2 linked regions of the Arabidopsis thaliana genome follow. The protein of the gene in region 1 interacts with the protein of each later gene in a biochemical or structural test. Each region holds a gene or a part of one and is shown on either strand. Other genes may lie near its edges.

Evidence for each region. Proteins that work in one complex are often made in the same cells at the same time.
Region 2: the proteins of AN3 (region 1) and GRF1 form a complex in vitro, tested with the Arabidopsis thaliana proteins (one study listed by BioGRID).

Annotation. Positions count from the first base shown.
Region 1 is NC_003076.8:10,646,954-10,652,093, forward strand, and holds AN3 (SSXT family protein), read right to left. Parts: upstream 3,110-5,140; 5' UTR 2,668-3,109; coding exon 2,587-2,667; exon of another isoform or gene 2,435-2,586; intron 2,423-2,434; exon of another isoform or gene 1,589-2,422; coding exon 1,512-1,588; intron 1,433-1,511; coding exon 1,348-1,432; intron 1,268-1,347; coding exon 878-1,267; 3' UTR 514-877; downstream 1-513. UniProt on the Arabidopsis thaliana protein: Transcription coactivator that plays a role in the regulation of cell expansion in leaf and cotyledons tissues.
Region 2 is NC_003075.7:5,773,464-5,778,010, reverse strand, and holds GRF1 (general regulatory factor 1), read right to left. Parts: upstream 2,802-4,547; 5' UTR 2,625-2,801; coding exon 2,133-2,624; intron 2,056-2,132; coding exon 1,933-2,055; intron 1,842-1,932; coding exon 1,725-1,841; exon of another isoform or gene 1,640-1,724; coding exon 1,573-1,639; exon of another isoform or gene 1,367-1,572; intron 1,222-1,366; exon of another isoform or gene 1,012-1,221; coding exon 854-1,011; 3' UTR 530-853; downstream 1-529. Other genes in the region: TL29 (ascorbate peroxidase 4), read left to right, coding at 1-100, 179-313, 399-509. UniProt on the Arabidopsis thaliana protein: Is associated with a DNA binding complex that binds to the G box, a well-characterized cis-acting DNA regulatory element found in plant genes. Involved in the regulation of nutrient metabolism.

The DNA.
Region 1 (5,140 bases):
AGAGCAGGCATGAAGCCAACATGTCAAATACATACTTGGGGCCTATGGTGGTGCGGTCTAAACATTTAACTAGTGTTTGTGACATATTGTTTCAAGGCTTATAGTTTTGCCAAAGGGAAGGAAGTAATAGAATAACTGAAGACTTCTCTTGGCTTGTGATTGAGTTGTAAAAAGCAGGGGCTGGGCTTGGCCTCCTAGGGGAATCCAGACACTAGAAAAACAATCGTCGATGGAACTCTCAACTAAGGGAAATCCACACTCAATACTACTTGAAGAATCTAGGACGAAGCAAAGGGACCAAAAGACACATTTTTGAAACCCTCTTTTCTTCACGAGACTTTATCTTAAATGGACCCGAATATGGTCTTTGGTTTGAGTGCAGCTTCGGGTGGCTATGGTCCGGTCTTCAGCAGTATGGGACCTTGCGAGGACCACTAAGGCTGGTCATATGAGTCTTGGACTGAACCGGTTGGACTTTATCAACTATAAAATAAAATTATGTATAACAGCCAGAAAAAAAAAACAATAATATAGCCTACATAACGATTTAGAATCCAAATAGGTAACATCAATGATCTACAAAACTTCAGTCCTGGTTAAAGCAAAAGAGTCTAACTCAGAGAAATAACATATTAAGATTACGACACAACTTGGAGCCAGCAGATTTACATGGTACACTACCACGAAAGAGGTTCACTGTTTTAGGGAACAAACATAGAGAGAATAACAAAACTAAAAAGAAGTAAATAAAGAGTTCTTTGCTTCTTCAACAAGCAACTAAAACCAAAACACACTAACTTCAAGACTCCTATTATTACTACTACTTCTTCTGCTGCTGCTGCTGCTTCATCATTAAGATTCCTTGTGCCACACTCTTTCAATTCCCATCATCTGATGATTTCAAGTAAAGGGTTTCTCCACCATCCCCTGAACTTCCTCCTCTGCCTTCACCGCCACCACCACTTCCCATTTCCGGCTTCCCACGGCCAAAATCATGAAACCCACCAGCCTCTCCCTGAAGGATATGGAGACCACTGCTTCCTCCTCCTCCGCTGCTCGAGCTCATTCCAAGCTGGCTATGGTGCAATTGCTGATGCTGAAGCGTCGCGTAAGGCTGCTGCTGCTGCTGTTGCTGAGCATACAACATTGAAGATCGAGCCGCCATTAGAGACTGCTGAGTCATCTGTTGCTGTTGAGTCGCTTGTTGCTGCTGCAAATAGTGTGACCCTCCTTCTCCCTGAATCATCCCACCACCAGCAGATCCATACTAATAACCAAACAAAACAAATCACTTTCTCAATTGATCATACAACAAAATTTGGAATACTTCACTGTATAAACAATCACCTGGCTATGCACACTTGGTGGCTGAGGCTGAGAATCTGCTATTGCAGCTAGGTACATTAGGTTGCGTTGAAGCCTTGCTTGATTCCTATAACCATTTTAATCATCATTTCTTGTTACTCAACAGAACACAAGTGAAATCATAAAGGAGATATGTTGTCTCTTACTCGGCGCATTCGCTAAGCTTTCCAGAGTTTTGAGACTCAACAATCTTCAGAATCAACGATTTGTTTTCGTCCAAGTACTACAATCAAACATTTTCATTAATCATTACTAATGCTACAAACAAAAAATTTGCATACTATTTTGTTTTTGTTGTAATAAAGACATAGAAAATCTCAAAAGGAGACCCCAGTAACTTAAATTCCGACTTATCTCAAAAGACAATAATGTTGAAATATCACAAAAGTGTAACGAAAGATTTTCTTCGAAAAGATTTTGAGGACCACACAAAAAAAAAACTGAGATAAGGACCAGATGTTGTTTCGGACCACAAAGTATATCTGGTCATGTAAGCAATAAAAGAAACACTTGGACTGGAAAATACACATAGATCTACTTATAATGATAACAAATCTAAACAGGACCACCCACAATATTCACATAAATGGCTTTGTGGTTTTTGCCATCAATGAAACTTCCAGAACCCGAAAACCAAGACAAGAAGAAAAAACGAGATATGTGAAACAAATCTTCAGTTCCCAAGATTTGTCTGTTTTGAACACGTTATTTTTCATTACATGTTTCAAGAACTCAAAACACAACTGGACCCTAAACATTCATTTTCATTGAAAGAAAGAATCTTTCTTAACTTTGTCTGGTTTTAGACATTTAATTAGCATCAAAGTTAACTGATAATACACCAAATCTATAAGGAAAAGAAAAAAAGTTGAAAGAATCATCTTAGTGACCAAAGCATCTCTACCAACCAAATTTATCAAACATAAACACACATGTATTAAAACTAATTTCTCTATGAAAAAAAAAGACATGGAAACAAGAATAACAAGAACTCTTTTACCAAACAAAAAAGAACCAATGAAAAAAAATCATCTATGTTATGAGAACAGAAGAAAAGGGTTTCACATACTTTTTTATATAATATAAAGAAAAAGTTATAAGGTACTTGCAAGAGAGATTTCTTCACTTTCCTTTATGAATTCAAAGAAACATATAATAAAGAAAAAAGAAAGAGATAATATAATAGAAGAAGAAGGAGAAGGAGGAGAAGGAGAAGAGAACCTGTTGGATATGATCAGAGGTAACATTGCTGGGGTAGTAACCAGCCATCATGGGCTGCATCTGCATCAGGTGCTGTTGCATTTCTTTTGCTATTTTATATAAAACCTGATAATTCCTTCTTATTTATTTATATATTTTATATATATAAGTTTTTATAGAGACAACCCCCACCACAAAACCCAGAGGAAAAAGAGAAGTCTCACCAAGTGAGAGAGAGAGATATTAACTTTTGTATCTGTCTCTCTCTCTTTCCTCTATGCTTCTGTATATAGAAAACTCTTAACTATTGAAGATGTGTATCTCTGTGTGTGTGTTATCTCGCTTTCTCTCCTCCACAAAAGTTGTTTTGCGTTAAAAGACTGAGAGAGACAGTGAAGTCTCTTAAATAGAAAGAGAGAGAGAGAAGAGAAGAGAGTGTTTTTCTCTTTTTCTTGGGTTTTGGGGTTTGGTTTTGTTGGTTTCTTTCTGTCTCATCCTATCTCTGTCTCTGCGAAGAAGAGGAGGTCACGTGACGAGTCATACTTTATTATAGAGACGTGAGACCTTTACATATATACTACTACTTATCAATATGTACACATTGTTGATTAAATTATTACTTTGAAGTTTGAACCCTTCGTATATAGAGACGTAACTATATACCAAATAATACTGTTTACTCCTTCGTATGTATATACGGTGTATTTACTTGTATATATATGTAATTATGTATATTAAAATCTCTTACAACTTTTGTATAATATTTTCTACATTTATAGATTCATTTCGGGATTTTATAATAAAGTAATGCAAAGTAGGATTTATTGTTTTCTAGATTGTTTTGGTAATTTATTGTTTTCTAGTTTTCTAGTTTTCTTTTACTATATCAAAGAATATTTTTGTCGTCTTATTTTGTTTTGGTAATTAATATATAAAAAAAAGATGTCTTTAGTTTTTCGAAAAATAAGATTCATGTATTTACATTTTAATATAAAAAAATGTTCTACATAGGAGTTTTTAACCTAGTGGATTGAATTTGTATTTTTTTAATAATTTATTATATTTAGTTTTACACAACATTTTTTTTACAATGGTTTAATTTTTTATCATGAGAGGTCACATCTAGATGCGATTCTTCACATTTAAAATAAAATGGATTAATGAAAAAATTAGATTAAGAAGTAGCTATGTGAGATAATTTTCTTTGTAGATGTTTGATTGTGTTGATCAAAAGAGTCTCTTCTCTCTTATACCTTAAAATCATATTTATAGGATTTAATCTCAACCAAATTACTGAATTATGTTGTGACTTAGTCTTCTTATGCGGATTAGATTTGGCATAACTAGTTCCCTAGAACATGTTATCAAAACAAGTGTGTTTGGTTTGTTAGCTTAATGATGTTTTTCATTTTGTTTTAAAAGTAGCGCATGACTCGTCTCGTCTCATCACTAACCATCTTTATGTGTTTTGGCAAAATGCCAAAATGTAAACACATTTCTTACGCTTACCAATAGTTATCTTCTTTTTTTTTTTGGTCTTTTTTTTTTATCGAATCACGTAACACATTATAATTGACTGATATCTTAATAGATGAAATTTATCCTCAACAATGATCAATACATGTTTCTTTTTTTTTACATATGTTAATACTAACTCGATCACTTGTCTCGACCAATAAGACGAGTTATCGACCATCAAAACACTGCCCTAACTTGGTTTGAATGTTTAATATTGATGATTCTCAACCAAAGGGTCTCTAAAGTTTTTGAAATGCTTTTGTAAAGAAAATAATAATAATTAGTTTGGAGTTATTTGATAAGTCTCATTAACTTTTTGTTCGAATTCTTGAAGTACGTTTCGATGGTCGGTAATTTAAAAAGAAAAAGATTCAACAGCTATATTATCTTTGCGTGGTTATACTTAATTCCACGTTAAACCCTCTTGTAGATGTGGTTAAATATTAATTAACACTTTATTCGTTGGTACCAAAAATGGATCCGAGATATTCCTTCTGCATATATGAACCACGGAGGCTCAACTTTTAATGTTTGTTTGTTTAACTATAGTATTATGTATGAACATTAAAGTAATCTGTAAGGATAAATGAATTGTTTTCTTTTCCCGATTAATTATGTCTTATAGACAATAACCAAACCAATAGTGTTTCTATGCCATCTAAAAGCAAACCAAAAACACTAGGAACAAAACTAAAAATACCATTTCTTCTTTTTTATCAGACCAATATAGTTGTTTGCATACTGTAAATTGAGATTATGAAGTTAAAGGTAGGATTCTGAAACGCTTACAAATGATCAATTCATTTTGGTTAATACCTAAAAGAAATATTAAATTTTTACGACATTAATTTTATACTACCTTATTTTCTATATAACAGCCATAAATTTTATAGTTAATGTGAGGTTGATGTTGAATCCTCTTACATAGAGAAAAGTGTTGCAGCAACTTGTAACTTATTATTGTACTATCTTTGACCGATTAATATGAATATTCACCAAGATATTGGAGAACTTATAAATAATGAAACTTGCAGTTTTTGAGCTGAGATATTTTGTG
Region 2 (4,547 bases), on another chromosome or scaffold:
AACAGAGGCTGATCCAGAAGGCAGAGTCCCACAATGGGGGAAAGCAACTGTGCAAGAGATGAAAGATAAGTTCATTGCTGTTGGATTGGGTCCTCGTCAGGTACATGATTTTCGGTTTAAACAGAGAATTATCTACTAGGATCACTCGAAGTAACTAACCTGTATGAGGAATTTGTAGCTAGCTGTAATGTCTGCATTCTTGGGTCCTGATCAAGCTGCAACAGAACAGCTCTTAGCTACTGACCCTCAAGTTGCTCCATGGGTTCAGAAGTATCAAAGAAGCCGTGAAACCGTATCTCAGACTGATTACGAGGTTCGTTTTCACTCGATTTGCCTTAATCATATATTCATCTACCTCAAACTCAAGCTCATGTTTTGGTTTATGAATATGTTTGTAGGTTGATCTCATAACTGCATTCACAAAGCTAAGTTGCTTAGGACAGCAAATCAACTTCGAGGCATATACATATCCCGTCGAACGGATCAATCTGAGCAAACTCAAGCTATAAGCTATGTACACTATATGTATAACATGAGAGGAAACTTCGAAATAAACCAAAGATTTTTCTTGACATTGAAACAAAAAGAGAAGTTGAATCCATTACAAACAAAGACACAGAAGATAGGAGTCAAATCACGATAAAATGGAAACAGATAAACGAAAAATAATAGGAATCGAGTTTTCGTATCCACGGTTGAGAAAAGCAGCAAAAAAGGACAAGAATTAGACTGCCTTAGAGAGCTTGGGGATAAAAGGAAATAAGAAACCAACAGAGAAACACCTCCAAGAGAAAAACATATTAATGGAGAGGTTTTAGATACTGAAATGACAACAAAGTTGCGGTAAGACGACTTAGGATTGTTGCTCGTCAGCGGGTTTTGCTGCTGCTGGTGCTGCTTCTTTGATGTCATCAGCAACATCGTCCTGATTGAAAAAAACATTTGACAAGATCATCATAATCAGAATCAGACCACAAGAAAGAAGGATTGAGGAATGTATCAAAATGTAAACTAAGCAACAACTTGATTTCCAAATCTAGTCTCCCTCAATGGCATATATCTTGCTCATGGTTTCAGAAATCACAAACAGGCTTAAGCAAGGCATAAGGAGGAATGCATCAAAATGTAAACTAAACCACTTGATATTCAATTCGTGTCTTCCTCAATGGCTTAACAAGGCTTATGATTTCATAAATTAAGCAACAAAACAGGATTAAACACATTTGACAATCACTAAAATCAGAATATGACCAAGAGAATGCATCAAAATGTAAACTAAACTGTTTGTTTTCCATATCTAGACTTCCGCAATGGCTTAACAAGGCTCATGGTTTCAGAAATCAAGCAACAAAACAGGCTTAAATACATTTGACAATCACTAAAATCAGAATCAGAGCCAGCAGAATGCATCCAAATGTAAACTAAACTGTTTTATTACAAATCAAGTCTTTCTTAATGGTTTAATTATAGGCTAAAAGTTTCAGAGATCAAGAAACAAAAACGTTATTCGTTCATCAAGCAACAAAAACAAGCTTATAAGGCCAAAATATAATACCTAGCAAGATTACTAACACAGTTGACAATCACCAAAATCAGAATTAGACCAGAAGAATGCATCAAATAAACTTGATATCCAAATCTAACTTTTGTCAATGACTTAATTAGGCTCATTGTTTCACAATTCAAGCAACAAAATCAATCATACAGGAGCCAATATATAATACCTGCATATCAGAAGTCCAGAGAGTGAGGTTATCACGAAGAAGCTGCATAATCAAAGTACTGTCCTTGTATGACTCTTCACCAAGAGTATCCAATTCAGCAATTGCTTCATCAAACGCCTAAATAAATCCATAAACAAAAACTCATCAAACACACACATAAACCAACAATACATAATCATATAAAACATCCCTCAGATGAGATCCAAACCTGCTTAGCGAGATTACAAGCACGATCTGGAGAATTGAGAATCTCATAGTAAAACACAGAGAAGTTCAACGCAAGACCAAGACGAATCGGATGCGTTGGAGCCAATTCAGAATTAGCAATATCCTACACAACAAACCAAAATTTCAAAAACCTAAATCACACAAAAATCAAATCACAGATCGGAGAAAGAGATCAAAAACCTGAGCAGCTTTGTAAGCAGTAAGAGTATGTTCAGCAGCATCTTTCCTCTCTTGACCAGATTTGAACTCAGCCAAGTACCTATGATAATCACCTTTCATCTTCAGATAAAACACCTTCGAATCTCCAGAAGCAGCAGCGGGAACGAGAATCGTATCGAGAAGCTTAAGGATTCCGTCACAGATATCAGAAAGTTCCGTTTCGATTTTGCTTCTGTAGTCACGGATCAACGAAACGTGGTCATCGTTACCGCGAGACTCCTCCTTTTGTTCGATCGATGAAATGATTCTCCACGAAGCACGACGAGCTCCGATGACGTTTTTGTAAGCGACGGAGAGGAGATTACGTTCTTCGACGGTGAGTTCGTCTTTGTCAACAGCTTTCGCGACTTTCTCCATGAATTCAACCATTTCTTCGTAACGCTCTGCTTGTTCGGCGAGTTTCGCCATGTATACGAATTCATCTCTTGCTGAGGAAGCTCCTGGTGTCGCCATTGTTGTTTAGATCGGAGAAGAAGATGATGAACAAAGTGAGGAAGAAGAAGAAGAAATGATTCTCAGATCTGAGAGAGTTTTTTTTTTTTTTTATCGGCTCCGTGGATTTTTGTTTTTGTTTATAATGAATGAGTGGGGAGCGATGATTACGGATTGTGAGAAGAAAGGAGAGCCGTTGGATTGAAAGCTGGCAAAAACACGGATTCGTAACGAAAAAAGGCGCTGGCTTTTCAGATACTTTTTAGGTCAAGTTTGAATTTTCAATGATTGGAAAAGGGTATTTCTGGAAATTACTTATTTAATGGGCTTTTTTCCTGCGAAACGGGTTTATTGAATGGGCTTTAAAGCCTATTTTACGGATTAACTCATTTGCGCGTGGGTGAATTAATTATTGAATGGCCCGAATAGGCCCAATAAATATAACGCTTGTATTTTGGTATACTTACTGATTTCATTTTTAATCGGATATCCGATATGAAATATGAAAAATAGAAAATTTAAAACCCAAAGATGGCAATATTTCATTAAGATTTCTTTAGCTGTTAATCTTTAGTATTTAAATATTTAATTTAATGAACGTAATTTCATAAAATTTACAAACAAATACGTCAATCATCGTAAATCTAGTGAGCCGACATCGTTAATTTACAAATATTATTATAAACATTTAATTATCTCTTTTTAAAAAAAAATTAAGAGGACCAACTGTTATAATAAGATATTATTATAAACATCTAATTATTTTTTTTATTTTTTTTATTTAAGAAGACCAACTGTTCTGTTTTGGATACTCATAATTACTATATTTCTAAGGCTATAAGTCCTCATCACTTTAGTAAAAATAAATTTTGTGGATTGGTTTCATCCCCTCTATTAGGAACATGGACAACATCCATTTGCATGTCAAGAAGGCTTTGCATGTCTATGTAAGTAAGTTTTATATTTATTTGAAGATCTCGGTTTTTTTTTTCTTTTTTGTGAGATCATAATTATAATATTCGTGTATTTACTAAAATTTAATTTCTCTATGAAAAAAACTATTTGCTGAAAATAGTATGCACAAAACGTACACACATATCGTTGTTAAACAAGCAAACATGTAGAGTATCGATTAAACGACATATGTATATACACAATTTTCCTGAAGTTAGGATTTTATCAAGATTTCTTTCAAGTTTGATCTTGCAAGGTAGAGAGAAAGCCTCATAATTTGGAGTCACACTAAAGACAATGATAGGTCTTTGAGTCAGAGATAATGGAGTTTTAGGTTGAATAACTAATGCTCTAACCCCTCATATTGGAGTTTCAGCTAGGAACCAAAACATTCAAAAGGAATCAAACACATGGAGAATACACAAACGGTGTTTAGGATGGATATAATAGAGATTACAACCTTATCGAGATTCGCTTTAGGATGCATAAAATAGTAGGAGGCAAGAAGTCAAGAGACTTTCATGGGCATCGATGTAGAAAAAGTTCTCTGCCACAGAGGAAAAACAATTTTAAGGTCCTAGAATCTACATTTCATTAAGGATATATAGTAGAACCGCGAATGTGGTTAAAATTAACCGTTGGAGTGAAGAATTGGATAGGCTTTTGCTTTTCAAACATGAAATCAACAAAGTCCTTTGTAGTTGGGCATATAAGATAGATTCATCTCAGAACTTCCTGGCTCCATCCCAAACAAGATGTTGTAGGACTTATTCCAACGTGTTCGTTGTTTATCATCTAGAAGCGTAAACATGAGAAAAGAGTAAGCATAGATTATAAACAAAATCACAAAGTTTCTAGATTCCACATAACGCTAGGAACTCATCAATAGAGAAGCAGCAACTAAAAAAAAAGCTCACCTTTTAATTTCCATGTTTCTTTCCAAAAACGATCAGTGAAATTACGTATAGCTTTAATTTTTCCCCAAAGCAA